Linked DNA regions of Coturnix japonica. The protein of the gene in region 2 purifies or fractionates together with the protein of the main gene of each other region. This does not show direct contact. Links are inferred from orthologs where the notes say so. Each region holds a gene or a part of one and is shown on either strand. Other genes may lie near its edges.

Region 1 (9,558 bases), on a different chromosome or scaffold from region 2:
GGACACAGCAGAACTTCAGGACACCTATAAAACTGAGGTGTCCCTCATTGGTTCCACAGCGTCACATCAGCACCTCCTCAGGTGTCCCACACCACCACCATGCCCAGGGACTGCAAGAAAGGGGGGGTCCCAGCCCTACCAGCCTCACTGCACACCCTCCTTACTCACCCAGGGACCTCACATCCCCTTTGACATTCAGCCCTCCCAATGCACTGCTATTGCTCACAGTGCCCTGAGCCCAGGAGAGGCCACAGCAGGGGGGGCTGAATCCATGTCCCCTCCATGTGCAGGGACCTCAGGGTGCCCCCCAGCCTCCCCCACTGCCCCAAGGCTGCTTTGATGCTATTTGGAGAGCAGAGATAAACACACAGCCCCCCCCCCACACACACACACACACAACAGGGGGCAGGCAATAAGATAACACAGGCACTGCCCAGGCTGTAAGGCAGGAACTGACACCAATAGGAGCCCCATAATATCAGAGAACACATGGTAATGAAAGACCCCAAACTCTGCTTTTTCCTGCCTTACCTACAAGTGCTGAAGTCTGCAGCACCCAGTTCAGCTCAACCCACTCAGTTCCTACCTACCTGCCTCACACATGTGATGCTCCATCAACTCAGCAGGTAATTAACTAATTAGGGGGCAAACAGCTGCACCTGAGTGAACAGAGCTGAACTGGGCCCAGCACCTGAGGTCATGGAGAGTCCCATTGTGCCCATAACCACACAGAGCCCAAACACAAGCCAAGCTGTTGCTGTTGAGATCAGGGGTTTATTTACAGGTGAAGGGAAGCTCTCACTCAGCTCCAGGCGAGGAGCCAAAAGAAACAAACCAAAAAGGAACAGAGACCTTCATCTCTGAACAGAAATTGCTGCACCCCCCGGAGCATCCAGTTACCTCCGAGGGTTCCCCATTGCCATCACTCCTTTTTTCCCCTCAAGGGGGAACAGAAGCCATGATTTCAGTGCCTGCACCACTCAGCATTGCCATCCCATCAGTACTCATCCAACGTGTCAGCCCTGGGCACCGCCAGGCCTCTCTCCTTCAACGCCTGCACCTTCAGCTTCTCCGACTCCTGCTTGGCTTGCAGCTCCAACCTTTGCTCCTCCAGGATCTCCTCGATGGAAACCTGCTGCAGCAACGTGTCGCTCTCCTTCTCCAGGTCCTGCAAAGCAAAGAGCTGTTGTTAAGCAGAGCTGCAGGGTGAGGGGCTGCAGGGCACGGGGCTCACTCACAATCTCCCCCAGCAGCACCACGTTCTCCCCTCTCACAACGAAGATCCCTCGAGGGATGTCCCCATATTTCTTGCCCACGTGAATTCGCTCCACTGTCTGATGCAGCACCAGGTTGGCTGTGGGGATAGAGAAAAAAACACCCCGTTTTTAACCAGTTTTTTACCAAAACCACCCAGTTTTTCACCAAACAGAGCACCTCACCTGAAACAACCCATAGCCTAAAGCATAGGGAGCAGCTGGATTGCATTATAGCACTATAATCCTATATGCTGAGCATCCCCTAAACAACATGATCCCCCAAACCCAGCCACTATAGGACCCCAAAGCAGCCACTACCTATAGCTGATAAAGGGATCCCTGGTGCTATAGGGTAAAGAATGAGGGGCTCAGCTATAGGCACAAGTGAATGGGGAAGGGGGGAAAGGGGGGTAGGGAGAAGAGGGGTAAAGGGAGGTAAAGACTGGGGGGCTCAGCCATAGGCACAAGTCAATGGGGGGATGAACTTAGTGCTGCCCTAAGGGGGGAATATAACATGGGGTGGGGGTCCAACATGACAAGGGATGGGGGAACCACAAACTGGGTTCCTATCGGAGCCATATGGGTTCTATTAAGCCCTGATCCGGTGTCGTTCCCGGTGCTGCCCCCCCTATCCCCCCCCATTATATCCGTACCGAACTGATCGATGCTGCGTAGGAATCCGATCAGCGTCCGGCCGTCCCGCAGCAGAACCAGGTGTTTCTCTATGGGGAAAGGGATCAAGCGGGGGTACGGAACATCGGTCCCAATGGGAACCAAGGGGAAAACCGGGGTCCCCCGCGTCCGGGTCCCGGTTTTCCCCTTGGTTCCTTATTGAATGAATAGAACCTCGGTCACACTCACTGTCAATGTCCTGGATGAGGCTTGCAGTACCCGGCATGTAGTTCATGGTGGCGGAACCGCCCCACGTTGGGCGGTACTTAGCGATGCACTGTCCCTTTAAAAGCGGCGCCGGTAGTGCGAGCGGGGCTGCCTTTCATTGGTTACATCCAGGGGTCCTCGCATCCTATTGGTCGCATGGTGGGGGCCTTTTATCCTTGTGTCGCGCTGTGGGGTGGGCTACAGCGTGCCGGGTTGAAAACATGGAGCACCGCGGTCGTACCGGGCAGGTAAAGGGGGGGGGGGAACCGAGCACAGCCCGTTATCCCGTTATCACTGCTCCATATAATGGGGTTTTTCCTTATAGGAGCCACCAGGCCCCGGCTTCAACCCCGGTTATTGGAGCCCAGCGTTCGGTTTTGGGGCCTACACCGACGGAGCGGACTCGGTATGTTGGGTTTGGGGGATGAGGGTCCATTTCCATCCCCCTCCCGTCCATTAAGGCTTTGACCGAGCTGTGCTTCATTTCTATGCCATAGGATACAATGGGCTTCAAGCCCCACTTGTTTCCTACAGCTCAGTACAGAAATAACCCATTAAATATCCTAACACACATTTCAGCTCATTTTCTTTCTCTTTTTCCCTTTTCTCCTCCCCAGGCTATGGACTCACCCTACACCAACGGATCCTACAGCGCCCCATACCCTCCCCATTACACCTCACTGCCACAAACACGAACCTACAGCACTTCAGGTCCATCCTACAGCACCGACAGCTCAGCCCCATATCGACCCCCCCCTCCTGCCCCTCCCTGGGGCTGTGGCACACAGGACTGCCCAGCAGAGGGATGCTCAATGCGCAGGCAAAAGGCTGCTGGGTATTCCCCACCGCAGGTAAGAAACCATTTAGGGTGTGCACAGCAAAGCGAGAGCTCCTGTGCTGCTCACCCCATAGAGGGTGAACCCACAGTGCACCCTAATTGGGCCCAAATGGCTTCTATGTCCCACCCAGCTCGCCCTGCTTGCTCTTGTAAGAACTTGGAGTTGCCCCTTTCTGCTGGGAGCTCTGAGGTCACGAGCTTTGGAGCAGAAAGCAGCAGCAGTCCCAGTGCTGGGGCTCATCCCAGTGCTGGGGCTCATCCCAGAGCTTCCTTCTGCCACAGGCATTGGGAGCTGACTTAGGACTTACATCTGTCCCCCTCTCCCCACAGACCCCAGGGATGCCCGTTCCTCAGTATCCATATGGAGACCACAGCCCCGGGGCCAACCCACAGCCCAGGGCTCAGGAGGAGGCGTGGGCTCCCCCTCACTATGGGGTGCAGGCACGGTATGCATGGCCTGCAGCTCCAGCACATGGGAATCCATTCCTCTCTGAATCACAACCACCCTGGACTGGCAGCAGGACTGCAGCTCATCCTCCTGTGTGGGACTCGAAGGTACAGTGATGCTTTAATGGCTCTGACACAAAGATTCTGGCTGTAGCCAGAGCTCAGCTCATGCTGCCTTCCCCCGCAATACACACATGCAGCTGCTCAGTGCTCCTTTCTCCAAGCACAGTTTGCTTCCAGGAGACAAAAACAAAGCAGCGGTTCTAAGTACTGCCAGCAAAATCACCTGCTTATATATCCAAACTGCCATTGAAGAAAGCACTGGAGATAGCAGACCCTGAGAGGCGGGTCTTGAAGTGGAGCAGATCTCATTTAATGCCTCTGTAATGTAGACTCTTTTTTTTCCCCTTCTGATTGTAGGAATCTGCTTATGACAAACCTGATCCGAGTGCAAACCAACACTGCTACTATTCTGACAGCAATCACCAGCACCCTGGGACAATGAATGACCACAAACCACCCTCCCTGCTGCATAACTCCAAGTCATCTCCCTCCAACCCCAAGGTACAATACAGTGCACAGCCCCAGATGTACAACAGTGCAACTCGGAGGCAGCTGGCTGGGAACCAGGAGGCAGGTTGCAAAGCTGGCAATCACACTGCAATGAATTCTGCAGCCATCCAGCCAGAGATACAGAGGATCCTACAGGTCACAGAGCAGGCTGAAGAGTTAGAACAAGAGGTGGATGAATTTGTAGGGAAAAAGACAGATAAATCCTACAGGCTTCTGGAGGAGATGCTGACCAAGCTGCTGTTAGAACTGGATTCCATTGAGACTGGTGGGCAGGATGGTGTCCGACAGGCCAGGAAAGAAGCTGTCCATAGAATTCAGGCCATACTGGAAAAACTGGAAAGGAAAGGATTGTGAAAGCAAATCAGCCACAATGCAGCCTGTTGTGGAGGTTCCAAAGAGTTAATCCAAATCTCAGCTCTTTCTGCTAAGCACTACTGATAATGAGAAAGCAATAAGACTTGATTGAAAAGAAGAAACAACCCTAAACCCACAGGAAAGCCCAGCCCCGACCAACAGCTCAGCATTGGACCAATGAAGAGAAGATGAAAGCAGCAAATTGAGTTGTTTGCTCTGGGATGTGAAGAAGCAGCACCACCTGAAGGTGTTTAGCACTGGGTTGTCTGTGTCCTTCATCCAGCAAGAAGAAAATCACTGCACAAAGTTCCCCAAACCGGGTCCAAATCCACCCAAATCCATGGTACCTCGTGGAGCCACAGCTGCAGCACTTGTCACATGCATCACCATAAATGAAGGTCCATCAGTGCGTGTGCTTTCAGCTTCAGATCCCTTACCCACAAAAGCTGGTTTGTGTCATCCCGGGGTTCTCTTTTTGTTTCCAATGCGCTCCCTGTAGCTCTGCTGATGTGAAGCTGTTCTGTGATGCCGTGTGGATGTGGGAACATAGCCTGGAACTCTGAGTTTTTCACCTGGAAAAGCCAGTTGCAGGCAGAGCCGTGCAGCCCTGGACAGTGGGAGGTGCAGAAAATGCTTTTTCAGGTCGCGTGGGTCAAATCCACTTTTTAATTGTAACGCCTACTGGGTGAACCTGGTTACGACATGCAAAGCGAATCATTGCTGCGTGTAATGAGATCATAATAAACCCTGATGACTTTTAAATGTTGTTTTGTAATTAAATCCTTAAGTCTCTTCTTCTTCTTTTTAAGGGGATGTTGTGTCCAGGTTGCTGAGCTTATAGCAGAGCCCAGCTGGGCTGTAGCAGCAGGTGGAGCTTAGAGGTGAGTGTGGTATATGGACACATGCAGCCCCCCATTGGGTGCTGCTGGGGGGCAGTGCAGGCTGTGAGTGCTGCAGCCCCACTGCAGGATTGTTGGCCGTGCTTTGGAAGGGATTTACTATTGGCTGCCACCCTCAGGGCATGGAGTACATGCATGGATTGACCTTTGCAGCTCTTTGGATGTGTGTGAGATCACATGCAGCAGTCAGAACACTGAGGCATCCCTGGGGGTGGGAAGGAGCTGGAATTAATTACCAAAGCCCATTTCTTCCTCTGTTACAACACTTGTTTTCTATCAGACACTGTTGGCACAAAGCTTCGCATTCCCTTTAGGAAGGATCTCAACGAGGTCTGCAATTTGCTCTTGCATGGGAGCCACGCTTCAGCCAAGGGGAGCAGATGTGAGATGGCTGCAGTCAGCCCTGCAGCATCCCCTGCTTGTTGTATGAGCATCACCTGGGCAGCTCCAAATGCCACGCAGGGCTGATGCTGATTCTGCTGCTTCCATGGGCAGTCCCTGCATCCAGGGATGTGAAGGCAGGAAGGTTTTCTTACCCTTGTTTCAGCAGCAAAGGCAGCATTGGGAATGAACCCACCCCATCCCCTGCCTGCTCTTTGCTCTGATGCTCGCCCCCCTGCGCTGTCAGCTGCCTGATAAAGGGGCTGGTCGGTCCTACCCGTGCAGGCAGCCACGTGGAGAGCAGCCCCGCTTATCTCCGAGCGGTGACACCGCAATGCAGGCGGGCAGAGCAGAAGAGCTGCAATCAAACTGCAGCGTTCCGTGGGGCCGGGGCAAAGGTTTCCATTAACAGCGATGTGGTAGGAACGATATTTGGTGTATCTGCTTGGAAGAAGAGCTGAGTGTGCCGGCACAGCATGGAGAGGGAGAGAGGGGCAAGAAGGAGGGGGGGGGGAGGCTTTTTGGGGTGTTTTGGTGCTAAATCCATCCAGGTAACGCATTGCTTTGTAATAGAATCCGGCGCTGAGCCCCCGCTATGGGAAGGGAAGGGTGAGGGTGGGCAAAGGGGGGGGTGATGAAAGGCTGCTCAATAGCACGACGGGGGCGGCGGTATCACCGGGCACCGGGGAACCACCGCCCCGAACCGCGGCAGCACATCCGGCTTAAGGCCGGAGTAAAGCTGTAATTAATGAACGCCGGCCTTTAATTAGCGCCGACCCCGCAATGCCGAGCGGGTGCGGTCCCCGCTGGGGTGAAACGGCCGCGGAATCGACTCGCGTGATGGTGATGGGATGGGATGGGATGGACCGCCCCGATCCACGGCCGGCCCCCCCCGCCCCGAGCAGGCGCAGCAAAGAGCGGAGGCAGCACCGGGGGCGGGGAACGGAGCCGGGTCGGGAGCGGAGCCGGGGAGCAGCGCTGTGCCGCCCCGCTGTGCCGCCCCTCGGGCCGGGGAGCAGCGGAACCGTCCTACGTACGTGAGCGGCCACCGACGGGCGGCGATGTCTCCGTCCGTGGGCTCGGAGGGACGCGAGGGCGCTGCGGGGAGCGGAGCGCGGCCTCTCTGTGCTCTGCACTGTGCGTAGAGATCCGCGGGTCCGACCGTCGTTGTCCTTTATCCAGGAGCATCATGTCTAACCCGGAGCAGCAGCCGGCGCTGCCCAGCCGGGCTGCCCACGAAGCTGCGGAGTTGGACGCGGGGAATGGGTACGAAGCGGTCGTTCCGCATTGGTTTTATTGCAAGGTGACCGGCGGGAGGGAGCGGTGGCTGCCGTTCAGCGTTCAGGACTCGGAGAGGCTGGAAGAGGCTCATAGTGCAGGTAGGAGATCGGTCCGAACTGCTTCCATCACACCCTGCGTGCGGCCAATGCGATCGGATACGGGATGGTGCTGCGCCTTCAGCCCGTCAGCGCTGTGCTTCAATGGCCTTTAAAGGTCTTTTAAACACCTCATCCCCTGCGTGTGTGATGGGGAACCGGCCTGGTGAGGTCAATGGAAGCATCAGGCGTGTGCCCAAGGGAAGCAGGGTGGTGATGCATGCTGCAAGCAGCAAAGGGAAAGCCCACAGCTCCTGCTTGGGTTGCAACATTCCCCCCTTTGGAAGCTGTAATTGAGGCTTGTGTTTGGTGGCAGTGCTGGAGCTGTAAGTGCATGGACAGTGAGGATGGAGGAGGTAGTATAAGGTCTGGCCTTGTTAATATGGCACATGCTGTATATTATATTATACATCATGTTGGAAAGCACCTTTATAGGGGGGACAGAAGCCTGAGCAGGAGGGCAGATCTGTCTGAGGGGACACTGCTGTGCTTCATAATGACAGCACAGGCAGTGGGGGCTGTGCTGGGATGTGAGCAGAGCTCTCTGTTCTGGATGGGAACGCTTTGAAGGTGGAGATCTGCACCAATGCAGGGTCCCAGGGCAGTGATTTCACACACTGCCACCTCAATGCAAGCAGGGAGAGCCCCTGGAAGGCCGTGCCCTAAGCTAGAAGGGAGGGGACTGCTTGCAGCTCAGTGCTTGCAGCTCAGTGCTTCCCTCTCACCTGCTGCCACTGGGGATGTCTGGCTTCAGGCATCTCTCCAGCTCAGGTCTCTGTGCATACAGACAGCACTGCTGGTTGCTGCTGCAGTCTCCTCTATGTGGTTCAGCATCCTGGTAATTCACCTTTTGGGCCCCTCACACGATTCATTCTGCTTCCCCAGGGAAGGATAAAGCAGATGTGGTCGTCCCGACATCAGGTGGGAGGTACGACGTGCACCTGAAGCAGAGGCAGTGCCTGGCGGTGTTCTGGGAGGAGGAGGTGTCCGAGGTGCGACGCTGCACCTGGTTTTATAAAGGGGACAAGGACAATAAATACGTCCCCTATTCAGAGAGCTTCAGCGAGGAGCTGGAGGTAAAAACACCCCCTTGGAGCACACAGCTCACCACCACCCTCTGCTTCTCATTGCCAAACACCACCCTGCCATCCCAAACTCCATATGGGGCCATTGGTGCTGCCGTTGCACCTGAGGACATGAACTCAGAATAGGCTTTGGCATGCTTTGGCACGGCATTTTCACGGCTGATTAACACAACTAAATACTGCTCTGCCTCCCCTTCCGCCCCATCATGGAGCACTCTGCTCAATGCCTGTTTGTTCTCCACCAGCCATGCAGCTCCGGCCCATCCTGCAGCCTCTCCCTGCTGTCTTTGTTCTGTGTTTTCCCCCAGCCCTGCCTGGTACTGCTGTGTTTCGGTTCTTATGGCCATAGGACAGTCATCCTCACTTTGTTAATGCAAGAAATAGTTCTTACTGCTGCAGGGGCCCATAGAATGTTTGCTGGTACCTGCTGTAAAGGGTGGGGGCTTTCTTTGCTGAGATATACAAACTTATTTACAGTCATCTGTATTAAAATACACAAGTAGTGGGGAAGCTTTCTGCTGCTATTCCAACAGGGAATACTTTAGCATGCAATATGGAGACAATCCTGTGGCCTCTCCTGGATGATTTCTATGCCTCTTTGACAAACCAGCACTTATAATGTCTCAAAGCAGTTGGATATCCATAGGAATACCCTCAGCTGACTCAGAGAGGACGTTCTTTCCCTCAGGAAGCGTACATGGTTGCTGTAACCCTGGATGAGTGGAAGAAGAAGCTGGAATCCCCAAACAGGGAAGTCATCATCTTACACAACCCCAAGGTGAGCAGAGCCTGCTGGCTAGGCAGGGACATCCTTTGGCCATCAATGCTTCCCACTGACCCTCCTGGGAGCCCAGTGATGTTCTCAGCTCCAGCACACAGTGCAGCACAGTTGATGGGCTCTCCTTGCTCACAGCTCATGGTGCACTACCAACCCGTTGCCACCTCTGACGACTGGGGCTCAACTCCTACAGAACAAGGGCGACCTCGGACTGTGAAGAGAGGAGTAGAGAACATTGCTGCTGAGATCCCCAATGGTGAGCGTGCCTCTGCCTCCCTTACAGCCATCCAAAGCATGAAGGGAGCACAGCTCCATGCTGGAATCTACCTGCTGCTCTCCCTTTCCATGCTCTGCAGTTGTGTCCCAGCACTGTGTGAGCTGTCCCAGCAGTGAGGACAGGCATTTCTTCCCATCTAACCCCTTCATTTTCCACTTGGGAAAGTAGTTACGCAAACCAAAGCGTGTGGGAAGTAAAGAACAGAATGTTGCCCCACCTGGTGCCTGTCAGGTCACTGGGTCAGCTCCTTACCAAGCAAGGCCTGAACTCTTCTATCCATATCTTATAACTCTTTCTATCCATAGGGGAACCTCTGCAGATTGACCACCTGGTTTTTGTGGTGCATGGGATCGGGCCGGCGTGTGACATCCGCTTCAGGAGCATCGTGCAGTGCGGTAGGTGGGAGCCAGGCAGG
Region 2 (10,205 bases):
TTCATACACATTGGTGATGGGATGGAGTACATTAGACTTTGAACAGCATTCAATATACTGCTCTGAAAGCAGACTATCCGGTGTCTGATTTATTTCTAACTGGTATGTTGTCATATGCAACACAGTAAGTTAAAACAGGTTCTAAATAAGTAAATGGATGTTGTGTCCAACTCAAACAACATCCAAACATTGGAATGCCTGTGAAAGTAAGGCTTAAATGTTGAGTTGACTTCAACATATGGGCTGAAGACTGCATTAAGGGCAAAAGTCTTGCAAAATGTATGTGGAGGTCAATGGTTGTGGGAATTAAACATATAATTTTAGTTACTTTTGAAACTTGAATACAGATTGCAACAGCTCTTCTTTAATGCAAATTGTCTTACCTACCTCGCATAGCAAATAGTGACCTCGTGATCTGGAATACATTAACAAAAATCTCAGCATTTTAAACTAAACAATATTATCTAAGTTCGTGTTTAATATGTGATTAGACCATGCTCTGCCTCTTAAATTAGCAGATCACAACTGGATGTTGTTCCATAACCAGCCTTGTAGAAATAGAAATGCAGTTATAAAGTTAGAGATGCAAACGCTCGAGAATGAAGCAAAGGCTATGTTGAATTTGTTGTTATAGCTGGGTAGGTGGAGGAGGAAGAGAAATGAAAAATAAACCTTAGAATTAAAAACAAAGAAGTCCCTGACTGGAAGAACACAGAAACCTGCCAGCTGTATATAAATGACAAAATAAATGAGAAGCTGCACACTCTACTTGGAGGCACAGCTTTCTTTTTGAAAGAGTCCCTTACAAAACAGCAAGTGGATTTGTACTTGCATTCTGGACCTTTTTCAAGCCCTTGTCAAAGAATGATAAATTACTGAAGGATATTATAAAGTAACATCTCTATTTGTGTGTTCTGTAGTGACTTCTGAAGTGTTTCATGTTGAAAGGTTAACTGTTAATTGCAAAATAATTTGGAATTATTCCCTAATCTTTATTCACAAGGAAAAAAAAAAAAAAAAAAAAAAAAGCAATCCACACTGTCTCCCATAGAAAACCGAAATGTTACTGTTCTCTACTTGCACTGGAGCTGCTGGTACTTGGGAAGAAGTTGTTGTCTTGTTTGTCCATCCACAGCCAGAAGAACTTTTTTTCCCTTATTCACAAATGTAATATTGATGGCTCAAAGAATAAAGCAGGGCTTCAGAAAACTCATTAAAAACAAAAACCTTACCACAAGGCGCAGTACCCTAAACTTTATCCTTGTCTTGAGGAACAAGAAAATGTTGTGAAAGATCAGTACGTTATGTGCAATAACATCAGACAACCCGAACATCCACGGTTTAGTTCTTGGCTGACTGCAAATAAAATGAGAAGCTATTTTATAAATTGATGCAAGTATCCATCTAAAACTGAGCTGGGTTTACTCGCTGGTCTTTGATTAACTGGGAGCGTTGTAGCAGAATGTAAACAAACAAGATCCAACTTCACTGCCTACCAGAGATTTCTCTTCCCCTGACACATACCCCATGCTATGAGTTCAATATATTATTACACTTCTCTGGCTAGAAATGAGCAAATATGGATGGTACTAGGTTGGGGATAAGTGGATGGGAGAGTAGGAGTGAGCAGTTTGAAGAGGATACGTTTGTAAAAGCTTTGAGACTTCCAGTCTGTTTTAAAGAGTAGCTTTAGATATTAAAGTTGTTTTTTACTGAAGAAATCCTTTGTGTGTGGTAGAGTTGTAAAAGCAAAGGTACTGCAAGCAGGGGCGGGGAACAGAGGTAGGAGGTGATGCGGCTGCTGGCTGTGCTGGGGCACCAGCTGAGAGCTTTTCACTGGTGACTGACTTCCACAGCGGGGCAGTGCTACCCCTTAGGGCTTTTCTTCCATTTCGGTCCCCACCCCTAACTGCTGAAGTGTCACCGTCACATCCCTGATTTCAATCCCACAATTCAAGATGTTTGGGGTAATTTACCAGTCAGCAGCTGACTTTTTTACCCAGTGACTCTTAACCGCAGTTTGGCATTTGAAACTGACTGTGTTTTCTGAAAGGAACAGGTCGTTGTCACCAAATGCTTCTCCCTTCCCAGCATCACTTAAACCCTTCTTTTGCCATGACTTGTAATTTGCAGTTCTACACTTGCTTACCTATGGATTAGTACTGTCGTGACTGCTAGTGTAACCAAATGAGCTGGTGCTTTGAATTAGTCTTGTGACACTGCTGCATGCTTCATTTTTATTTCTGTTCAGAGGAACAAAACAATATTTTCAAACAAAAATATCCAGAAAGGTTACATTGGTTTACATTTATTTTTTAAAAAATAAGCACTCAAATATGTCACCTGTGAACCATTAACTACAAATGAAATAGGTCTCATCCATTTGGAGAGATTCACAAATACAGAAGAGCCTCCTTCTGGCATCTTCACATCCTTCTCTTCTGTGTGCTTATGTACAATACTGTGAAAAGAAGAAAGCAGAACAGCTATGAGAGTTTCAGTAAGTAATGTGCAAAGCCTGTTTATTTAATACTTACTACTTCTGTGGCTTTTAAAAATGAGTGTAATTAATCCCGTTCAGCATGAGCAAAGTCAAGAACTTTCAAGTCCAGGCTCCAAGAAATGCTATCAGATTTATGTACTAACTTGACTCAGTATTAAATTCACAGTCAAATGGTACGCTCCAGGTGATGCAGACTGCACGGAGGGAGAATAAGCCTAGCTACCCTGCAGCATTAACAAGGAGAGCATGATAGAATCTTTTAAGCAGCAGAATTAAGGGTGTTGGACAGCCACGTTATGATCTTTCAACAAAAGATGGAAATCCCAAGCACTTCCTGCAATGCTAACAAGCACCTATGAACCAGCAGACATCTTTCACCTACTTGGCTGCTGCTGCCAGAACATCATGTAATGCGGTGCTTCCCATGCACTTTGTAGGAACACCTTTGCCTTGGAGTGGAACTGTGCAGGCTGTATTTTGAATGCCCAAGTGATGAAATCACATCACGCTCCTAAACAGGGAATGTCTTAAGTTCTTTAGCCTATACTTTATTTTCCTGCCTCTCATCCATTTGTTTTTAACTTTCCTAACAAATTCTTATTCCTAGAATTGATTGTCTGGCTGCAATGTAACCTTACTGTAACAAGCTAAACTCCTTATAAAAAAACAATAATTTGACCTCATTCAAGGACTGTTTCTTTCCTAAACAAAACAACACACATAACGTGGGGTTCAGATCTTGTTTCTTTCTGTTCCCTCTTTCCTAGTAACTTTGTCAGACTCTGCTTCATTTACCTTCTCTCCAAGTCTCCTCACATCTGACCTGTGAACCTTTTCCATGCTTAGATATTCTTCTCCCTAGCATGTCCCACTACTATAGCCTAACTAGCTGATAGCACAGCATCAGCCCATGGTTTAAAGCAAGTTTCTCTTGTGTTGGGGAAGGATGCTAATTGTCCTTAAAGTGTACTACAATCCACCTACTGCACCGGGATGTTCCAAGGCTCAATAATGAAGTGCAAGTAATTTTTCTTAACCTCTAGTAGAATCTTTAATAATAAACAGCCCCCTTTACTAATGAACAGAACTCATCCAGGTCTGAGGAAAAGCACAGGCACTGAAAAGAAGCGCTGTAAAAAGTACATACAGCACAAGAAGGAGGAGTTACCATTATTTCCTCGGATAAATGCATCCCCATACTTGTTCTTTAACTGTCCATTTACGTATTCTTCTGTCTGTTCCAGAGCTATATTCATATAGCCATCCAGGCAAGCCAGGACACCTAAAGAGAGTGATAGTTTAAAAGTGAATCAACTTTAGCTTATTTCTGAACTAAACAAAACGGCTTTGCATTTGAACAGTACAAGGAAAAAAATTGTATCTTCATAGCAAACTAAACTTCCAAATGTGGTCAGGTGAGTCAGTCAGCAGCCCAGAGAGCATTAAAGGAACTAAACTGAGAGTAGGGAACTCCAGGTCCTGTACATGACTGGGTGGGGAGAACTCACTGAGACGTGACTTTGAAAGAGAACATCTTCCATTCTGAAAGTTTAGTTGTTGCTTTTTACTTTTGTTTTATGCCCAACTCCTGAGAAGAACCTGTGACATAAAGTGTAACTGGGCAGCCTAAGAACAAGGCTACAAGCTGAGTTTTGACCAAAGCTCATCAAGGATATATGTGAGAAATAACCCTTCTAATACAGGACACCACGCACATTTTTCTGATTTATTTTCCAGAAACTGGAGCACAGGAAGTTCTGCACGGATGTGCACAAGAATTTGTTTACGGTGAGGGTGACAGAGCACTGGAACAGGCTGCCCACGGAGCTTGTGGAGTCTCCTTCTCTGGAGATATTCAAGACCCGCCTGGACGCCTACCTGTGTGACGTGGTGTAGGGAGCCTGCTTTGGCAGGGGGTTGGACTCGATGATCTCTACAGGTCCCTTCCAACCCCTACAATTCTGTGATTCTGTGATTTTCATTCTTATAGACAGAATAACATGGGCTGCCAGCGTGATTTCTGTGTAAATCAATTCTACATCTTCAACGGGGAAAGGGTTTTCATATGACACTGAAATCTTCAGCCAAATTTAAGTGATGTACAAACAGAACATTTACATAGTGAACTAAATGTGGGGATTAACGGATGTGAAGAACTGCTCAGAAAATGCAATACGTACACAATGCAATTTGCTAATTGCATACATAAAACAACTTCTAACAAGCTGCTCATCTCCATCTTGTTTGTGTGTGTTTCCTGACTTCCTCCTTGCACACAGACACCACTATTAAAAATACAACTACCAAAATGGACAAGAATCTAATTTACCTGCTATTAAAACTGAAGACATGCAGTACATTGGCTGTATTTGAGGAGGGGGAGAACTCCAGTCTGAGAATCTTCCTCCAGGGTATGTTCTCATTTTCCAGAAGCGTTACTGTAATATCCTCCATTAAATAATTAGGAATTCAAGTTTTCTTGCCAACTTGTAATGGCTTGAGGATTGGTATTTTCCTGTATGTGTTTTTCATCCCTGTTTCCACATAAATGGGGAAATTCTGTCTGGCCACAAAGTGTTTTAAATACACCAAAACCTTCCAAGCCAAGTCAGTGACAACATTTTCACACCAGTAATCCTGAGTGCTTCAAGATGCCACAGAAAACAAATGTTTGCCCCAAGCTGAAGTTGGGCTGTGGGGTTTTTTTTTAAGCTATCACTCAACTGGCCAGGGTGCATCTTCATTTCTTTCATTGTTGTCTTTCTTTTCTTTGTATTTACTCCCAGAATACTAATAGCATCACATACTGTTGCTGCCCACCCTGGCTCATATTTTGCCTGTTTTTTATCAGTATGCAGCAATGTTTTTACATTCATATCCATCTGTACAACTGATTACACGTGCACTTTGCCAGGACTTCTTAGATGAGTACAGCGCTTGGCAGTGAACCAAGACATTTTACAGCTGCACACCAACGTGAGAACCAGGCAGCTGCTGTGCTCACAGTGGCTGGGAGGGTGGAGGTGCAAACATAAAATGAGAAGGGTAGCCTACAGGCAGAATCTGAAGAGATCTGCAACAAAAGCCTGAGATGCTGGGTTTCCTGATGTTTGGTTTATACAAGTGATCGAATTTCTGTAGAGAAATGAAGTGTGCATTTCTCAAATGTAAGCACCAGGAGGGAGTTAGGGAGAATGGAGGGAAACAAAGAAAGGAAAATAACTCCTGTATGACATTGGGCTGGTGTCCAAACACCAAGATTCCTTGTCAAAGGACAAACGAGCACTAAGATGAGCCAACTGAATTAAACCTACCTGAAGTAGCGATGTCTGGCATGATCATAACGTTTAAATCATCCCAGAATAAAACACCTGTCTCCTCATGGGAGAGGCATGATAAGAGCATCCAAACTTAACGAAGACTGAGATAAAGAAATAATTGTAGAGGCTGAGCTATTGGAGAGGCTCAGCCTAAAGGGAGCAGGACATCTCACTGCACAGACAAGGTGGAATCTTACCTCGATAATCGACTCCAGAATTTAACTTTACAACAACAGGCCTTCCAATGATCTGCTTTAGGAAGTCACTGGGAGTTTGCTTCCGTAGGCTCATCTTGATTTGTGTCGGTACGCTGGGAATAGATGTGAAAGCCGATATATGGATAAGCAGCACATCCCACCCTGCAGGCATTGAAGGCCAGGCTGGATGGGGATGCGAACAACCCGGTTTAGAGGGAGGCGTCCCTGCCTACAGCAGGGGGCTGGAAGTGGATGGGCTTAAAGGTCCCTCCGCACCGCTCCCCGCACCGAGGCACAGCCCGGCCCGCACCCCGCCGCCCGGTGCCCCATTGCGGCCGGGCCGAGACACAACGCCGCTCACACTCACCCGCTGCTACGCGCGCCCGGCCCCGCGTTCGCGGCCAATCAGCGGCGGGCGGTACGGCGCGGCGGCAGGGACACGGCGGGACGGGCGCGCTCGCTAAAGCGGGGCGGGTTGTGGCTGCACTGAGTAGCGCCGCCTCTATCGCTGCAGGGAGGAGCTGGATGGGATCACCTGCTGCCAAAGGACGGGGAGCAGCTTTCTGCTTCTGCACCCAGCTGTGGCCTGACCTCTGCAAAACCTCATCTGTGTCCGTTTTAAACTTATCTTTATAGTTTCTGTCTATTTTTATCGTTTCTGTCTATGGATACTTGGTTCATTGATGCCAGTCAACAAAATCCTTCTAATTTCCTTTTTAGTCCTAAATTTACAAACATATGTATTCCGAAAGACTGAAATAGAGATGGACAACGTTGTATCCTTAGCTCGCCACTTCTATGGCTTGAGGCTGAGCCATGAACCCACACCTTAGCAAATTTGTCCTGGTTTTCTGTATAAGCCTTGAAACAGTCTTCCATGCTGTACTGAGTAAATGAACCTCTGTGCAATAGGACACATTGCTGAGCATGTTGGTGTAGTGGGTTTTGCATTGGGAAAGAAAATTTCTCTCTTGCTTATTCACAAAGATTATATAATGTAATCACAACTGTAAATACACAACCTAAAGAATGTGTTGTTTCCTGAGTCACACAATCCCAGTGCTCAGGTAGGTGGTTTTCAAAGGAATTATGTAATCCATTCTGTAGACTCCTCGCAGATTTCAAAGCTTCGAGTGTGAAAAAATGAGACCCACTGTTTAATGGTTCTTCTTTTTGCTTCAGTCATCTAGATGAAAAAGGATTTGGGTCTAAAACTTTGCATGCGTTGCTATCAGTACATTCTTTAAAATATGGCATTGCTTTATCGTTCCACAAAGCAGAGAGCATTTTTCCAGCTGTATAAAACTCATTGAAATCAGTGACATTCTGCCCGTGTGTTTTAATCAAGATGAACTTGAAAGGTGAACATTGTAAGTGGTAGAAATTATTTATAATTTGGTAATAAAAGTTTATGTCTAACACTTCCAAACTTCATACATCTGCTATGTGCCAGCCTTGAGATATAGAACAATTGTGATTGCCTTTACATTTGGCCTCAGATGAAAGGTCATAAATTACAATGGGAGTTTTCAGTCCTTCGCAGCTCACAAAGTTTCCATTATAGCTTCTTCACCTCAAACATAAATGGTGACAAAGTTCTAACATGAAGAGTTGCTGTGGCCTTTACCAGCTGAACTTAATGATGGAAGCTGGGGGCTCGTCTACTATTGCTAAGTCTTGAATGTGAAGCACCTCAGAATGTTTGTTCAGAGAACCTCATTAAAATTTGCAGTTAACTTTAAAAAAACGAAATGGGATTTGACAGTGTATGAGAAATTGGTAATCACAGCCTGAACCTCTGATTAATCAGCTGAGGCAAGTGTCGGGTCAGCTGTGGGAGCACAGGTGAGAGTAATTTAGCTGTGCTCCTGGGAGGGGTGGAGCTCGACTCCACCTCCTCTAGACCTCATTTAAGGGCTGACCCCCACTGAGGCAGCATCTCTTGGAGATTGCTTTCTGGTGGAGATTGCCTCAGCTTTTCCCAGCTGAGGCATCGATATCGGTGAGTTTTCCTTTACAAATAACCTTTTGAATTATCTTTGCTACCATCTTCATATTATTCAACTTTACAGACAGTCTGTCTGTCTTTCTCTTCTCCTCCCAGCCCCCACTGAAGTCAGTGGAGGTTATGGTAATTACCTCTCTGTACTCAGAACCTTACAACAAAAATCTTTGAAATACACTGGCAATTTCAAAACAAATCTAACTCAGTGATCAGGTACCAGAAAGATAGCTGTTAGCTTATAGTTGTCATGGCTTGTTTTTAGAAACTGAAGTTTCAACAACATATTCTGGCTGCTGAAGAGTCCCTTTGTCCACTGGCCTAATCCAAAACTCTATCAAGTGGTTTCTGGTTCAGATCCTTTCCACGCTCCTTGTTTTCTCCAAAGCTATCCCACAGGATCCTCACAGAAGGGCAGAATACATTGATACCTTGTGCTGCTCAACATCATGATAAGAAAGCTATTTCAACCTGAGAACCCATCCCAAGGCTTTCTCTCCCCCTTCCCACGTGTGTTAGAGTGTATCTCCAGAAGCTTTCAGAGCTCACCTCCCTCACAGTACCTAGCTGTGTTCTTGGCTTCCCCCAAGAGATGAGAATTTTCATGAGCCTTGAGGTGTTTGAAATTCCCTTTGCATGCATTTTGATGGGAGAATTCCAGCCCTTTAGCAAGTAAATGATGCTGTATCTTTGCTTATACAATGAAAGATGAAAGTTTTTGGTTTTTTTTTTCCCTTAAATGGAGGCTTACTTATCCAGCATTATTCCCAAGAACATCAGAACTGAAGATTGCCAGCTATACTCTCAATTAAAAAGTTAATGCATTTTAAAATTGGACCTTAATAAAAAAACATTGCTTCTGTGCTACAGATTTAAGTCAAAGAGCCTAATAAAATTCTATTGTCTTCAGTTCCTTACTTTGTGCTCCCACTCCAGGATGTTCATGTCATCCAATATGAATTAAGCAACATGATTACCTTTTGTCACATGTTTTTGTCTCCAGCTTTCTATCTGGTTCGAATACAGTCTAACAGATCACATGAGAACTATGCTCTCTGTTGCACTAAGTAGAGGCTCGAAGCTCCACTTGCTTTGTTCATTTGTTTGTTTTGGGGGGGGGAGGGCACTTAGCTAGGCTCTAGCCAAATTACGATCATAGTGGAGCCACTCTTCTACATTTAAGCTTTCTAAAATATTTACATTAAACAAACACAGGTTCTCTCTCTCTCTCTTTTTTTCCATTGTAGAATTTCAATCCCAGGCGATACTTCAATGTAAATTTTTCCAAAGCCCATTTGATGGTGAAGTTCATCTTTTCAGGTTGATAATGCTGATGTCAAGTTTAAGCCCAGACATGGGCTAAAATGGTGACTTTAAATTGACCTGCTAGTGTAAAATATCTGCAAGGTTAGTTCCCAGCTCCCCCAAACTGCTTCTGACACCCACCTGAGAATATGAAATAAACATGGGGCTGCTCTAATTTGTACTGTGGTAAAACTTTGTCACAAAAATTCAGTTCCCCCTCCTGCTTATATGCTACCTGCAAATACTGGATGGCCACAATGAGGTCTCTGCAGAACCTTCTCTTCTCCAAGCTAAACAAGCCCAGTTCCCTCAACCTTTCCTCACAGGAGAGATGCTCTAGCTCTTTTATCATCTTAGTGGCCCTTCTCTAGACCTGCTCCATGAACTCAGCATCCTTCCTGTGCTGGTGGCCCCAGGCCTGGATGCAGTACTGCAGATGGGGCCTCACAAGAGCTGCGTAGAGGGAGACAGTCACTTCCCTCTCCCTGCTGGCCATCCCTCTTTTAATGCAGCCCAGATCACAGTTCGCCTTTTGGGCTGCAAGCACACACTACTGGCTCACAGCCAGCTTCTCATCCACGAGGACCCCCAAGTCCTTCTCTGCAGGGCTGCTCTCAAGGAGATCTTCCCCCAGTCTGTATAAGTGCCTGAAATTGCCCCAACCCAAGTGCAGCACCCTGCACTTGGCTGCATTGAACCTCATTAGGTTTTCGTGGGCCCCAACCCTTTCCCCCTGGGGATCCAGGTGATGCTCTAGGGCACAAGTATCATCTGATTTGTGAGAAGACGAAGTCTCTTTGGGGAGCTGACTGGATCTGCCATTCCCTGACTTCTTCCAGACTCTCAGTACGATCTTTCCTCTTATCTGAACCTTCTCA
Region 3 (10,364 bases), on a different chromosome or scaffold from region 2:
TAGAAGAGATAAAAGCATCACCTCAATCCTTGCCCAGTTCTGCATGATGGTACAGGATGGATCTCCACTTTCACTGAAGCCTGGGAAGAAAAATACTGTTTGTGGATGGCTCTTGAAAAAAATATTATGAACAAAGCAGGTAATACATTGGATTTAACTTACGTTCTTCTACTTCTTGTTTCAGATACTCCACAGCACGTGCAAATGCAGATCGCAGCTCTTCAAGTTCTTTACTTGAGTCTTTAGAGAATAGAAAGAAATGCCTTAATATTACCATTTTCATTTCTTATCCCCTAAAGCCTCTTCACTAACACCCATGGATGACTTTATTTTGGCAGGAAATGAAACAGATACAACTTGCTGCTTCAGTAAAACTCACTATATGCAAACTAAAAAACAAACAGCAACAAAAGTTAACACAAGCAACAAAGCCCATCAAGTAGCTAAAATACAGATCAGGGCATTTTTGTGCTATTCCTTCAGCAAGGAGCTGTTCTAAAATAGTTGATATTTTATGGACAGTAACTGGGGGAGAAAGCAGCTTTTGCGAGAGATACAAAACTTGTGTTTTTCTATATGCTTGTTTTTAATAGAAGTTCTGTACATCTGAAATAGTGGCAGCAAACAAATGTATATTCAAATGTACCGTATATACCTTGTGTAAAATCCACCCTTCTTCTTAGGTAATCAAGATACGCCTGCCAGATTTCTACATAGTCAGTTGCCTGAATAAAGCCTGCATTCAGAGCCTTTTCAAACATGTCTGAAAGAAACAGAGGAAAAAAAACAACCAAGCAAATATATATTTCCTTTTCCATTGTATTTCAAAGTATAAGACAAAGAAAATACAGTGAATTAGTTAAGAAATTCAAGGTAAAGCCAATTTAATTTAGCAGTGTTCAAGCAAAGTTGAAATGAAGCACTTGCTCAGTAGTGAAGCTGCTCAACCAACACAGCTGTGCCTTAGAAGCACACTACTGTAAATGTCATCAGTTTTAAGACTGCTGCAGAAAGGTTGCAACGAATTCTACAGGTCACACATCAGTTCTGCAGTGTAAAGAAATACTGTTGAGAACCTTTCCATACCAGAAATAATGCAGTGATCAACTCCATGCCTCTCCATTGCTAAAAGATACTGAATCCAGAGCCCAACCGTCCAGGGACAGTTCCTGACAGCACGGTCATGAGCAGACAAAACCAATTCTTTCACTTTCAGCTGCCGGTCCTGAAATAAATCACACACCAAAGTTTTAAACTCCTGTTAGATAAAAAGCCCACCCAAGACAAATAGCAGCTTAAAAAGCTAACAACTTAAAAATATATATGGATCTTATATTTGAAAATCTAAAGACAGGACTGGTGTTTTAGATTTTACACACATAGGAACTCAGTGAATGCCCTCAAAACAGAAAGGAGGAGCAGAATAAACAGTAACTCTGTGCCATGTTAAGTCTGGCAAAGACATAAACAAAACCCCACAAGGAAAAAAGCCTTTTATTTTTCCCTTCCTTACCAAATACTGATTGTAGCGTGCCCACAGGTCTGGTACAAGGCAGTTCTCAGCCAAAGCCCTCTCGTAGATCAACTGAATGCGAGCTGGATCACCAGCTTTCATTTCAAAATCAATGTAAGCTTGGTATTCTGCTAGCTTCGGTGTTTCAGCACCCAGCTACAGGACATGAAAAATAGAAGTCTTCTAAACAAAGCATGCTTCAAACAGCTCAACTGACTCAGTAGGTCCTGCACAACATTCCAAACTTGAACTTGGCCTCTACATTTCAGCAGCTCTGTCACTTTTAGTGCTGGGAACTACATTTCAGCTTTTGATTTAATTCTTAATTTTAAAGGAATGTATAAGTAACAACATACCAGTGCCTCCTCGTATGGTTTACACTTCTCCAATTGCTGTAGAGCCTTTTTGTAGCTCTTTATTGTTGTTTCTGGTATTGGATCTTCGGACCATTCCTCATACTCAGCATATGATGTGTCCATATCTGTTAAAAAAGACACGAAATCGCATCACTAATGCACTCAACAGACTAAATAATTGGAATTCAATCTCTGCTTGATTCTAACGTGGTCACGTTTCTGTTTATAGTTTTATTCCTTAACTGTCAGACTACCATATGACTAAATGATTCAGCTTATAGGTGTAATTTGAACAAAAACTTAGGACAAGTTGCTCATAATCATTAGCTTTTCCTTTACAAAACCAAAGTTGCAAGATTTTCTCAGGGCTTTAAAGAAGAAACCAACCTAGATGCTTTCAATGGAAAAATAAGGAAGTTTAAGACCTTTTTCCTGTATGCAGATAAAGAAGCAAGAAAAGGGACTTGAGGAGTTTGAAGTATGAAACTGATACAGCAGGACTATCAATCCAGCTGTCAGCATGTATCATTTACCTATCAGCCAATGCTCGTACACAGTGAGCTTCTCAGCTGAATTCCTAGCTCCTAAGGGTCATGCTTTGTGCTAATTACTTGTACTTTAAACAGCCTGAATGACCTCAAACTATGCAGCATGGAAACAGATAAACAAAGTTTCAATGACTACGAATATTTCCGAACAAACGGGAAATGTGCATCATTCAAGGGGCCCCAAAGGCAGGCAAATGTAATTGATCCATGAATACTCAAATCCAACAGCTGCAATTTGTGTGGCTCTACCAAAAGAATAATCACAATTCATGCCTACTTTGCCATAATACAGTTTATCCACGCCAACTCCCCCAAGCACGCAGGCTCTCACCTAACAGTGGGATCCCCAGCTGGCGCCTGAACAGCGTGTGGATCCTTTCAAGCTGGCTGCAGAGCATCTGCTGCTGCTCAGGCGACGGAACGCTGCCAGGAGCTGGCTGCAAACAAAAGGATTGAAATTTAATCAGCCCCCTCAAGCCTGAGTTGATGGACACAAGGGGGTATTGTTTACGGGTTGGTGATCTGGGCTCCAAACCACTACTACATGATCCTTGAAGAACACACATGGCCAACTTGTATTTCACGTGGCTGCTGCTAAAGCTAAAACCTGGAAACTGCTAGTCAGAAGCTGACGAAAGTACAAAGCATCCCCCAGTGAAAGCAGACACTGGGAAATGATAACCTGGAGAACAGTGTGTGATCATTCCAATTCACAAACCTACAGATAGGTTTTCAATAAATCCTTGATGCTTGCAGAGATGCTTTAAAACTCAATTCTTTTCTTTTTACAAGCAGAAGAGCATTCCCCCATTACTCCTCTGCATGGGCATTTCAATACTGACCAACTTTCACGTCTTATGTAGCAAGCTACAAGGAAACAGAAATATTGACATTCTAGTCATCTCGCAAAGTCTGATGTTTCAAAAAGGGTGAAACAGTGAATAAATTCAACACTGAGGCATAAGGCAGCCTAGAAACGCAAACATCACTGATTATGGGCAAAAGTATTCACTAGAATGAATAATAATGCTTAATAATGAAGCTACTTATTCTTGTCAGTACAAGCTAAAGAAGTAGAGTAGTTTTGCTTCTGGTTGTGAGGTTTTATGAACATATTTTAACACACCTCCACTCTTACAGAACACAGAACATTTTTCTCAGTCCAAACAGTCAGTCTCTACAGCTGAAAAGAAACAACTGAGTGACACCACAGCCTCATTTCTCCAAGGAGACTGATAAGCAGCATAAGGTGACTTCGGAAGCTCCACCACAGCCTCTAACTGACAGCAGCCCATCAGACCAGCCTTACCTGTGCTGTCTCCAGGATGGCATTCTCAAACTCACGGTACGCTTCCCACAGAGCTGTTCCTTTTGTCACGTGCAGCCCAACCGCTGTCAATGCTCTCTCAAATATTGAGCGAACTTTCTCAATTCCTCCTTCCTGACCAATGCCACCGATTGAATACTGGGCATATTCCAGCCAAATTTCAGGACCTAAACAAAGTTATGAGAAACAGGAGAGCTGATGTCCTCGAAAATACAAAGGCATCTCAAATACTTATCCAAAGGCATAGAAATTGTCTTTACTATTCAGTATAATAGACCTTTAAATGTTTTTTTAACTCCCACACATTAAGAACTTACAGATGTAATCCTTCACGGCTCTCTCAAACAGCTCATAAACTTTCTCTCGCTCTGAGATCTCAGAAGCCATTTTTATCTCATCCTTCAACCAGTCCAGCCAGATTTCTGAAACCAAGAAGTTTACAGTCACCAACGCTTGGAAAAAAACTTTTCCCTTTACATTTTTGGTTATTTTTTAATAACAGGCTTAAAAATGGGGATAGAGAAAATGGGGAGAAAAAGAGCAATTTTAAGTCCCCGCATCTACACACAATTAGTTTAAATGAAAAGTTTGGTACTGATGTCTCCAACCTAGTCCTAAGCAAGTATGCTTCTATTTAAAGAGAGATGAAGCTGTGAGCAGCAATTGGTCAGCACCATGCACAGAGAATGCACATAGGCCAGCAAAGAGGCATTGAGTGGCACAGTTTCCTTCTTTTTTACAAGAAACAGCAGATGGCTTTAGAGGCTGCAGGTTCCCACATGCCTAAGAGGAAACCTTCACTTGCCAAAGCTAAAAGCCCACTGCCAGGTATTTATATTGTTACAGTGTTAACTATAAATAAAAAGAAAGGCCTGCTTCAAGTTGAGTTCAGAGCTTCAATCTGATCCTTTAGGCTGGAACAGCATGGCTGAAACCTGGCACAAAGAGTATTTCACACTGATGATGCTTCATCAGTATTACCAGCTGCAAGGAGAAGCAGCTCTGTACCTTCAGTAAGTGGGAAGAGTTCACTCATCTTCTGCCGAGCTCTTCTGAGCTTCACCAGCTCTCCCTCTTGGCGGAGCAGCTTTATCAGATCCAAGTGGCAATTGTAGTCAAAAGCATTGATGGAAAGCTTTAAAGAAAATAAAGGAAGTTTTTAAAGGCTTGCAGAAGTCAGCAAATACTCAGCAGAACAGAACTTTACACACTGTTTTCTATGTGTCACATCCCTGCAGTTCTTGAACACCTCCAGGGATGGTGATCCCACCACCTCCCTGGACAGCTTGTCTCAATTCCTGACTGCTCTTTTGAAGAAGCAGTCATTCCCAATACTCAACAAGAACCTCCCCTGGTATAACTTAAGGCCTTTGCCTCTTGTCCCATCGCTGTTATATGGGAGAAGAGAGCAACTCCCACCCTGCTACAACCTCTTTTCAGGGAGTAGTGGAGAACCATCCTACAATTCTGTGATCCCCAGCTCCCTCAACCTCTCCCCATATAGCTCGTACTCCAAACCCTTTACAGCTCTGCTGCCCTACTCCAGACATGCTCCAGGGCCTTGATGCCTTTCTTCTGTAGTGAGTAAATTAAACGCAGCACTTAAGATGCCTTGCCTTCACCAGGGCCAAGTACAGACAGACATTCACCTCCCTGCTCAGTTACACAGAATCACAGAACTGTAAGTGACAGGAAAAGGCAAAGTCCTCTGAGGATCCCTCAGTCCAACCCTCCCCCCAGCAGGTAGCATTAGAAAGCATCCCAGTGGATCCTGAGCATCTCTAAAGAAAGAAACTCCACCACCTCCCTGGGCAGCTTGTGTCAGGGCTCTGTCAACTTCACAGCGAAGAAGTTATTTCTCACGTTCAGATAGAACTTCCTGGGTTCCAGTTTGTGCCCACTGCCCCTTATCGTGTAGCTGGGCATGGCTGAAAAGAACCTGGCCCCATCTTCACGATTTCTACCCTGACAAGTGCTGCTCCCTCAGCCTTCCCTCCTGCCTCAAGGGCAGCCTCAGGGCTCCTCAAATAGAAGCTGCAGGCCCCGACCACCTCTGCAGCCCTTCATAGAAGATCCCTGTTACTAAAGCTGGGCTTTAAAGTTCTGCAGAAGACTGAACTCACAGCCCTAAGGCCCGAGAGCCCCCAAGTACAGACACAGCGCTAACACCCAGTGAGCCCTCCTCAGCAAACGCGTTTTAATTCCTTCAAGATCACTAAGGAAACCACCATCTGAGTTCACTTTCAACATACCAGGGCTGCTCCCTGAGTCTCTCTCGCCCTGAAGCGAGGAATAAAAAGCGAATTAAAAGGCATCACGCCCGGAGGCGTTTCCAGATCTCCATAACCAAAGCACGGTACAGCCGGGCCCCACCTGCTCCTCCAGCCGCTGGATCTCCGCCTCGTTCTCCTTCTCCTCATCCTCGCCGTCTCCTGATGAATCCGAGTCGCCTTCATCCTCCGAATCCCCCCCCGACTCGGGGTCTCCCTCCACCACACGCTTCTCCTCCTCCACCGCCGCCTCGGCTCCCGCCGCCGCCATCTTGTTGCAGCTCGCCTCGCTGCCGGCCGCTCTCAGCCAGCCGATGGGGTTGGCTACTGCGCGCCTGTCTCAATATTGTACATTCCCCCCAGCCAAAAGCGGTGAAAGAAAGGACGATAAACTCTCCCGACAAGGTTCTGCTCTTCTCCGCGTCCAACTGCCACGAAAAGCCGAGCAGCTCGGCCCGTTACTCCTTATAATTTAGTCTGCTGCAGAGGCAGCGCCACGGACACCTCAGGGCCTCGGCCTCCAGGGGTCCTTCGGGAGGGTTGGGGCAGAGCGCCGCTGCCAGGTGCGGGCAGACTCAAGATGGCGGCGCTGAGGGCGGCGGGGGCGGCGCTGCTGCGGCCCGGGCGGGGGGCGACGGCGGTGGGGGGGGCGGGCTACCACAAGAAGGTGAGAGGGGCCGGGTAGGGCTGTGGGGAGCCCATAGTGCCCGTTGGGGGTTGTTAGTGACACGTTGTTCTCGCAGGTGGTGGATCACTACGAGAACCCGCGGAACGTGGGCTCTCTCGATCGCAACGCAAAGAACGTGGGTACGGGCCTGGTGGGAGCCCCGGCCTGTGGAGACGTTATGAAGCTGCAGGTGAGGGGAGCACGGGGTGCCCTGTAAGGACACAACCATCAGTGTCTGCCACCATATGGCTGTGACATAGGATTCCTCCGTCACACCCCCTTTAAGCCCCTCTGCAGGCCCTAAAATCCAATAGACCCCCAGCCTTAAACTCGCTGTCCCTTTACGCCCCTCTGCAGATCCTAAAATCCAATAGACCCCCAGCCTTAAACTCATTGTCCCTTAAAGTCCCTCTGCAGGCCCTAAAATCCGATAAACCCCCAGCCTTAAACTCGCTGTCCTATCGCTGTCCCTTTGTGTGTGGTTCCTACGTGGAACTGAGCGCCCCTCTGATAACTCCCACAGGTGGAAGTGGATGAGAACGGCCGCATTGTTGATGCTCGCTTCAAAACCTTCGGTTGTGGTTCTGCCATCGCTTCCAGCTCCTTGGCAACAGAGTGGGTGAAAGGGAAGACGGTAAGGGCTTGGCTTAAGGGGCACAGTGGGGAGCAGGTACATATTCACACCCACTGCTGGGATCAGGGAAGGAAACAGGGGTCTAGAGAGGTGCTCTCCAGGTGTTACACTCACATAGAAGCTCAGAATGCAGTTTCATCTTTCCTGACTTTTAAAGCAATATTTGCCTTTTCTGGAAGTCTCCAATAAGCTGTGAAGAAGCTTTGGGTGCTACACAGCAATCGAAAATAGATAAAGAAAGCACTTGTATAGTGGAATGTCTTCCATTGGCTGATCTCCGTGTGCTTGGCATTGTGACAAGCAGGTTGTTTCTATATTACAGCAGAACAAACCTGGAACAGTCCCTGCAGTTGGTCAGCAGTAAAATAATGCTCTGGTTTATTAACAAGCACTGCACACTTTGAGACATTCCTTATATTTCATAGAATCAGGGGTTGAAATGGACCTCTGAGTATCACCTAGTCCAGCTCCTCTGCCAAAGGAGGTTCCCTGTAGTAGGTTGCAGATTTGTTGCTTGGCAGGAGCAGAATAAAACAGGTATTATTGAAAGGCCTTTCTTATGGTAGAACACTATCAGCAGCTTTTACTGCCTTCTCAGAGCGTGACTTTGGTTGGTTCCAGTGCTTTGAAGCACACCTGTATCAAATACCTGCGTGGTGTGTGGGCATCATATGTACATGTGTATGCCTGACTGATGACTGTACCCTACCCATACATTTCAGATTGATGAAGCATTGAAAATCAAGAACACAGACATTGCAAAAGAACTTTGCCTTCCTCCGGTCAAACTGCATTGCTCTAGTAAGTAAAGCATCAAACACGTTGTTATTTGAGAACACAGATGCTTTTGTACGTTCTCCAAATAAAGCTTTGCACACATAGCAGCTAAGGCTGACCCACAGTGGTGGTTATTGCTGGCTGCTTCTGCTTGTACTGCATCTTTTGTTCTAAGTGACTTGTCACTGTTATTTAAAGTGCTTGTAAATGACATTGTTTTGTGCTCTTTTTCTCCCCTAGTGCTGGCTGAGGATGCAATCAAGGCTGCCTTGGCTGACTACAAACTGAAACAGGATCCAAAGAAAGGAGAGTCAGAGCAGAAAGCAGACTAATTCCTAAACAGACTGTAGAGGTTGTCCTCATTCCAGTTCAATTTGCAGTGCAATTATTCTAGCTGTTAATAGAATCCTGTGCACTACTCAAGAAGCTGTAAGATACGCACAACTCAACGCACAACGTGTCACTGGTCATGTGTGTACAGCCACCCTGGTAGTGCTTAAATGACTGGAACGTGGGTATTTCAGCAGCCTGTGTCCTGTCAGGATTGGTTTTGAAATGGTGAGAGTGAAGGGCTGCTCTGCTTCAGGGCAACCCCCCGGTAGCTTCTCAAGAGAGAAAGAATCCTCCTGTTCCAGCATTGGAAGGGCTGCACTTTTTTTCTTCTGTATAGTTTTGCCTAATGTTTTACAAAGAGTTTGGTGGGAAACTTGGTTGCCTTGGTCTTTATGTGGGTCACTTTGTCAATCAATACAGTATATATAAATCTCATGTGGTTTGGCTGCAGCTGTGTTGGAGTTTGGTTTCACAATCTGTGACCTCTCACATGCTGTCTATCCCCTGCGTCACGCTGCTCTCTGGGAGGAGCTGGGATGCTTCACCAGGCACTAGAGGGCACTGACTGTGGGAGGTGAGCAAATAACAGCAGCTGCAGTTGGTTGCCAGGAAGCTCAGAGCCAGCAGCGTTAGCAGGACATGTTTGTGTTCACATCCTCCAATAGCAGGAGGGTTAATGTTGGAGCATCTTTTAAAAGCATTCAACCCTTTAGTTTGCCAAATACTGTTAAGGGAGATTAAACACACGCTGAGGATTCAAACCCAGAATGCAAATAGCTTAACTGGGATGTAATACTGAGGGGAACCTCCCTGGAAGAGCAGGAGTCAGCCTGTGCCCTCTGGGGGTGTCTTCTGAACTTCCCCCATCCCTTCCAGGGCAGAGAGAGCAGCCAGTGCTCTTGGTACTAAGCCAGGGGCAGAAGGGGATCCTTACCTGCTGCTGGAGCTGATTTTGGATGCTATTTCTGATAGCTTCTGTTGTTGCCTTTGGTAGTTTTAGGGCTGGATTCTCTTCATTTGTGGAAAGAAACCTCAAAAACACAGCCTGGCAGATACCTCCCCCGAGCAGCTCTGTGTGCACAGCTAAAGCTGCTCAAACTGCTTCGCTGGAGGAGTGAGTTATGAAGAGAGCACAGGGGTAGCACTCACCAAGTGGAGGATTTGCCCACCCACCACATGAGCTGGGCTCCTTGGGAGCGTGGGGCACAGAGTCAGTTCAAAACAGGCGTTTTATGGCCACACAGCATGGCTTACCCTCTGTTCTTTAGACCACTGTGCTCCCCTGTGCCTCACAGCGATGGCTGTTTTCCAAGGGAGTGTTGCCACAGATCTTCAAATCAAAAGAAAATGCACTTAAAAACCTCCCTTGCTCTTATAACATCCTCACCCCACGCCCCACCCTATCTTCCTTTCCAGTTTTCATACCTATGATGTTGCACAGCTGCATTAAAAACAACATTCAGTAAAAATAAGTGGCTCGTTCTGGTTTCTGTCTGCAATGTAATTATTTTTTGAGTTATTATTTTAAGTTGTTGTCACTCCTGTTTGGGGGAATCCTTTGGTTTCCCTGCAAAATGCTGTCAGCTGGAGTAATGGGGATATATTAAAAGCATAGAGCGACATTGGTAAAAGGATGTGAGGTGTAAGGATAGATGACAGCAGATACAGTTGCTTTAAACCCAAGAAAGGTAGTGGTCACAATCCAGTAATAAAGAAAGAATTGCTCACCCCATTTCCAAGGATCAGGGCTCATCAAATGTGACAAAGGAGCCAATCTCCAGGTAGAGATGCTTCCTTTGTGGCTGCCAGCCCTTAAATGAGGTTAAGGAGGGGTGGACCCAGGTGAATTGCTTCCACCTGTGCTCCCAGGGCTGACTACACCCCTTCACCAGCTGCTCAATGATTCAGCCCATGGCCTAACAACTCCCATACATGAGGA

Evidence for each region.
Region 1: the proteins of LSM6 (region 2) and LSM1 purify together in Homo sapiens (co-immunoprecipitation; 3 studies listed by BioGRID and IntAct, counting the BioPlex papers as one, with this or other methods). This does not show direct contact. The link is inferred for Coturnix japonica from reciprocal best matches to the Homo sapiens genes LSM6 and LSM1.
Region 3: the proteins of LSM6 (region 2) and SART3 purify together in Homo sapiens (affinity purification with mass spectrometry; 4 studies listed by BioGRID and IntAct, counting the BioPlex papers as one, with this or other methods). This does not show direct contact. The link is inferred for Coturnix japonica from reciprocal best matches to the Homo sapiens genes LSM6 and SART3.

Annotation. Positions count from the first base shown.
Region 1 is NC_029537.1:3,644,682-3,654,239, forward strand, and holds LSM1 (U6 snRNA-associated Sm-like protein LSm1), read right to left. Parts: upstream 2,164-9,558; coding exon 2,118-2,163; intron 1,979-2,117; coding exon 1,910-1,978; intron 1,355-1,909; coding exon 1,239-1,354; intron 1,169-1,238; coding exon 998-1,168; 3' UTR 753-997; downstream 1-752. Other genes in the region: BAG4 (BAG family molecular chaperone regulator 4), read left to right, coding at 2,162-2,383, 2,461-2,541, 2,753-2,986, 3,304-3,528, 3,841-4,347; phospholipase DDHD2, read left to right, coding at 6,479-6,660, 6,810-7,006, 7,889-8,079, 8,777-8,866, 9,002-9,122, 9,449-9,538. UniProt on the Homo sapiens protein: Plays a role in the degradation of histone mRNAs, the only eukaryotic mRNAs that are not polyadenylated. Probably also part of an LSm subunits-containing complex involved in the general process of mRNA degradation.
Region 2 is NC_029519.1:27,570,011-27,580,215, reverse strand, and holds LSM6 (U6 snRNA-associated Sm-like protein LSm6), read right to left. Parts: upstream 6,382-10,205; 5' UTR 6,193-6,381; coding exon 6,021-6,192; intron 3,786-6,020; coding exon 3,672-3,785; intron 2,462-3,671; coding exon 2,427-2,461; 3' UTR 2,283-2,426; downstream 1-2,282. UniProt on the Homo sapiens protein: Plays a role in pre-mRNA splicing as component of the U4/U6-U5 tri-snRNP complex that is involved in spliceosome assembly, and as component of the precatalytic spliceosome (spliceosome B complex).
Region 3 is NC_029530.1:5,663,227-5,673,590, forward strand, and holds the start of SART3 (squamous cell carcinoma antigen recognized by T-cells 3), read right to left. Parts: upstream 6,541-10,364; 5' UTR 6,286-6,540; coding exon 6,118-6,285; intron 4,880-6,117; coding exon 4,753-4,879; intron 4,167-4,752; coding exon 4,062-4,166; intron 3,912-4,061; coding exon 3,727-3,911; intron 2,855-3,726; coding exon 2,749-2,854; intron 1,995-2,748; coding exon 1,870-1,994; intron 1,670-1,869; coding exon 1,514-1,669; intron 1,226-1,513; coding exon 1,087-1,225; intron 764-1,086; coding exon 656-763; intron 241-655; coding exon 163-240; intron 81-162; coding exon 22-80; intron 1-21. Other genes in the region: ISCU (iron-sulfur cluster assembly enzyme ISCU, mitochondrial), read left to right, coding at 6,595-6,681, 6,758-6,871, 7,205-7,315, 8,038-8,116, 8,333-8,424. UniProt on the Homo sapiens protein: U6 snRNP-binding protein that functions as a recycling factor of the splicing machinery. Promotes the initial reassembly of U4 and U6 snRNPs following their ejection from the spliceosome during its maturation.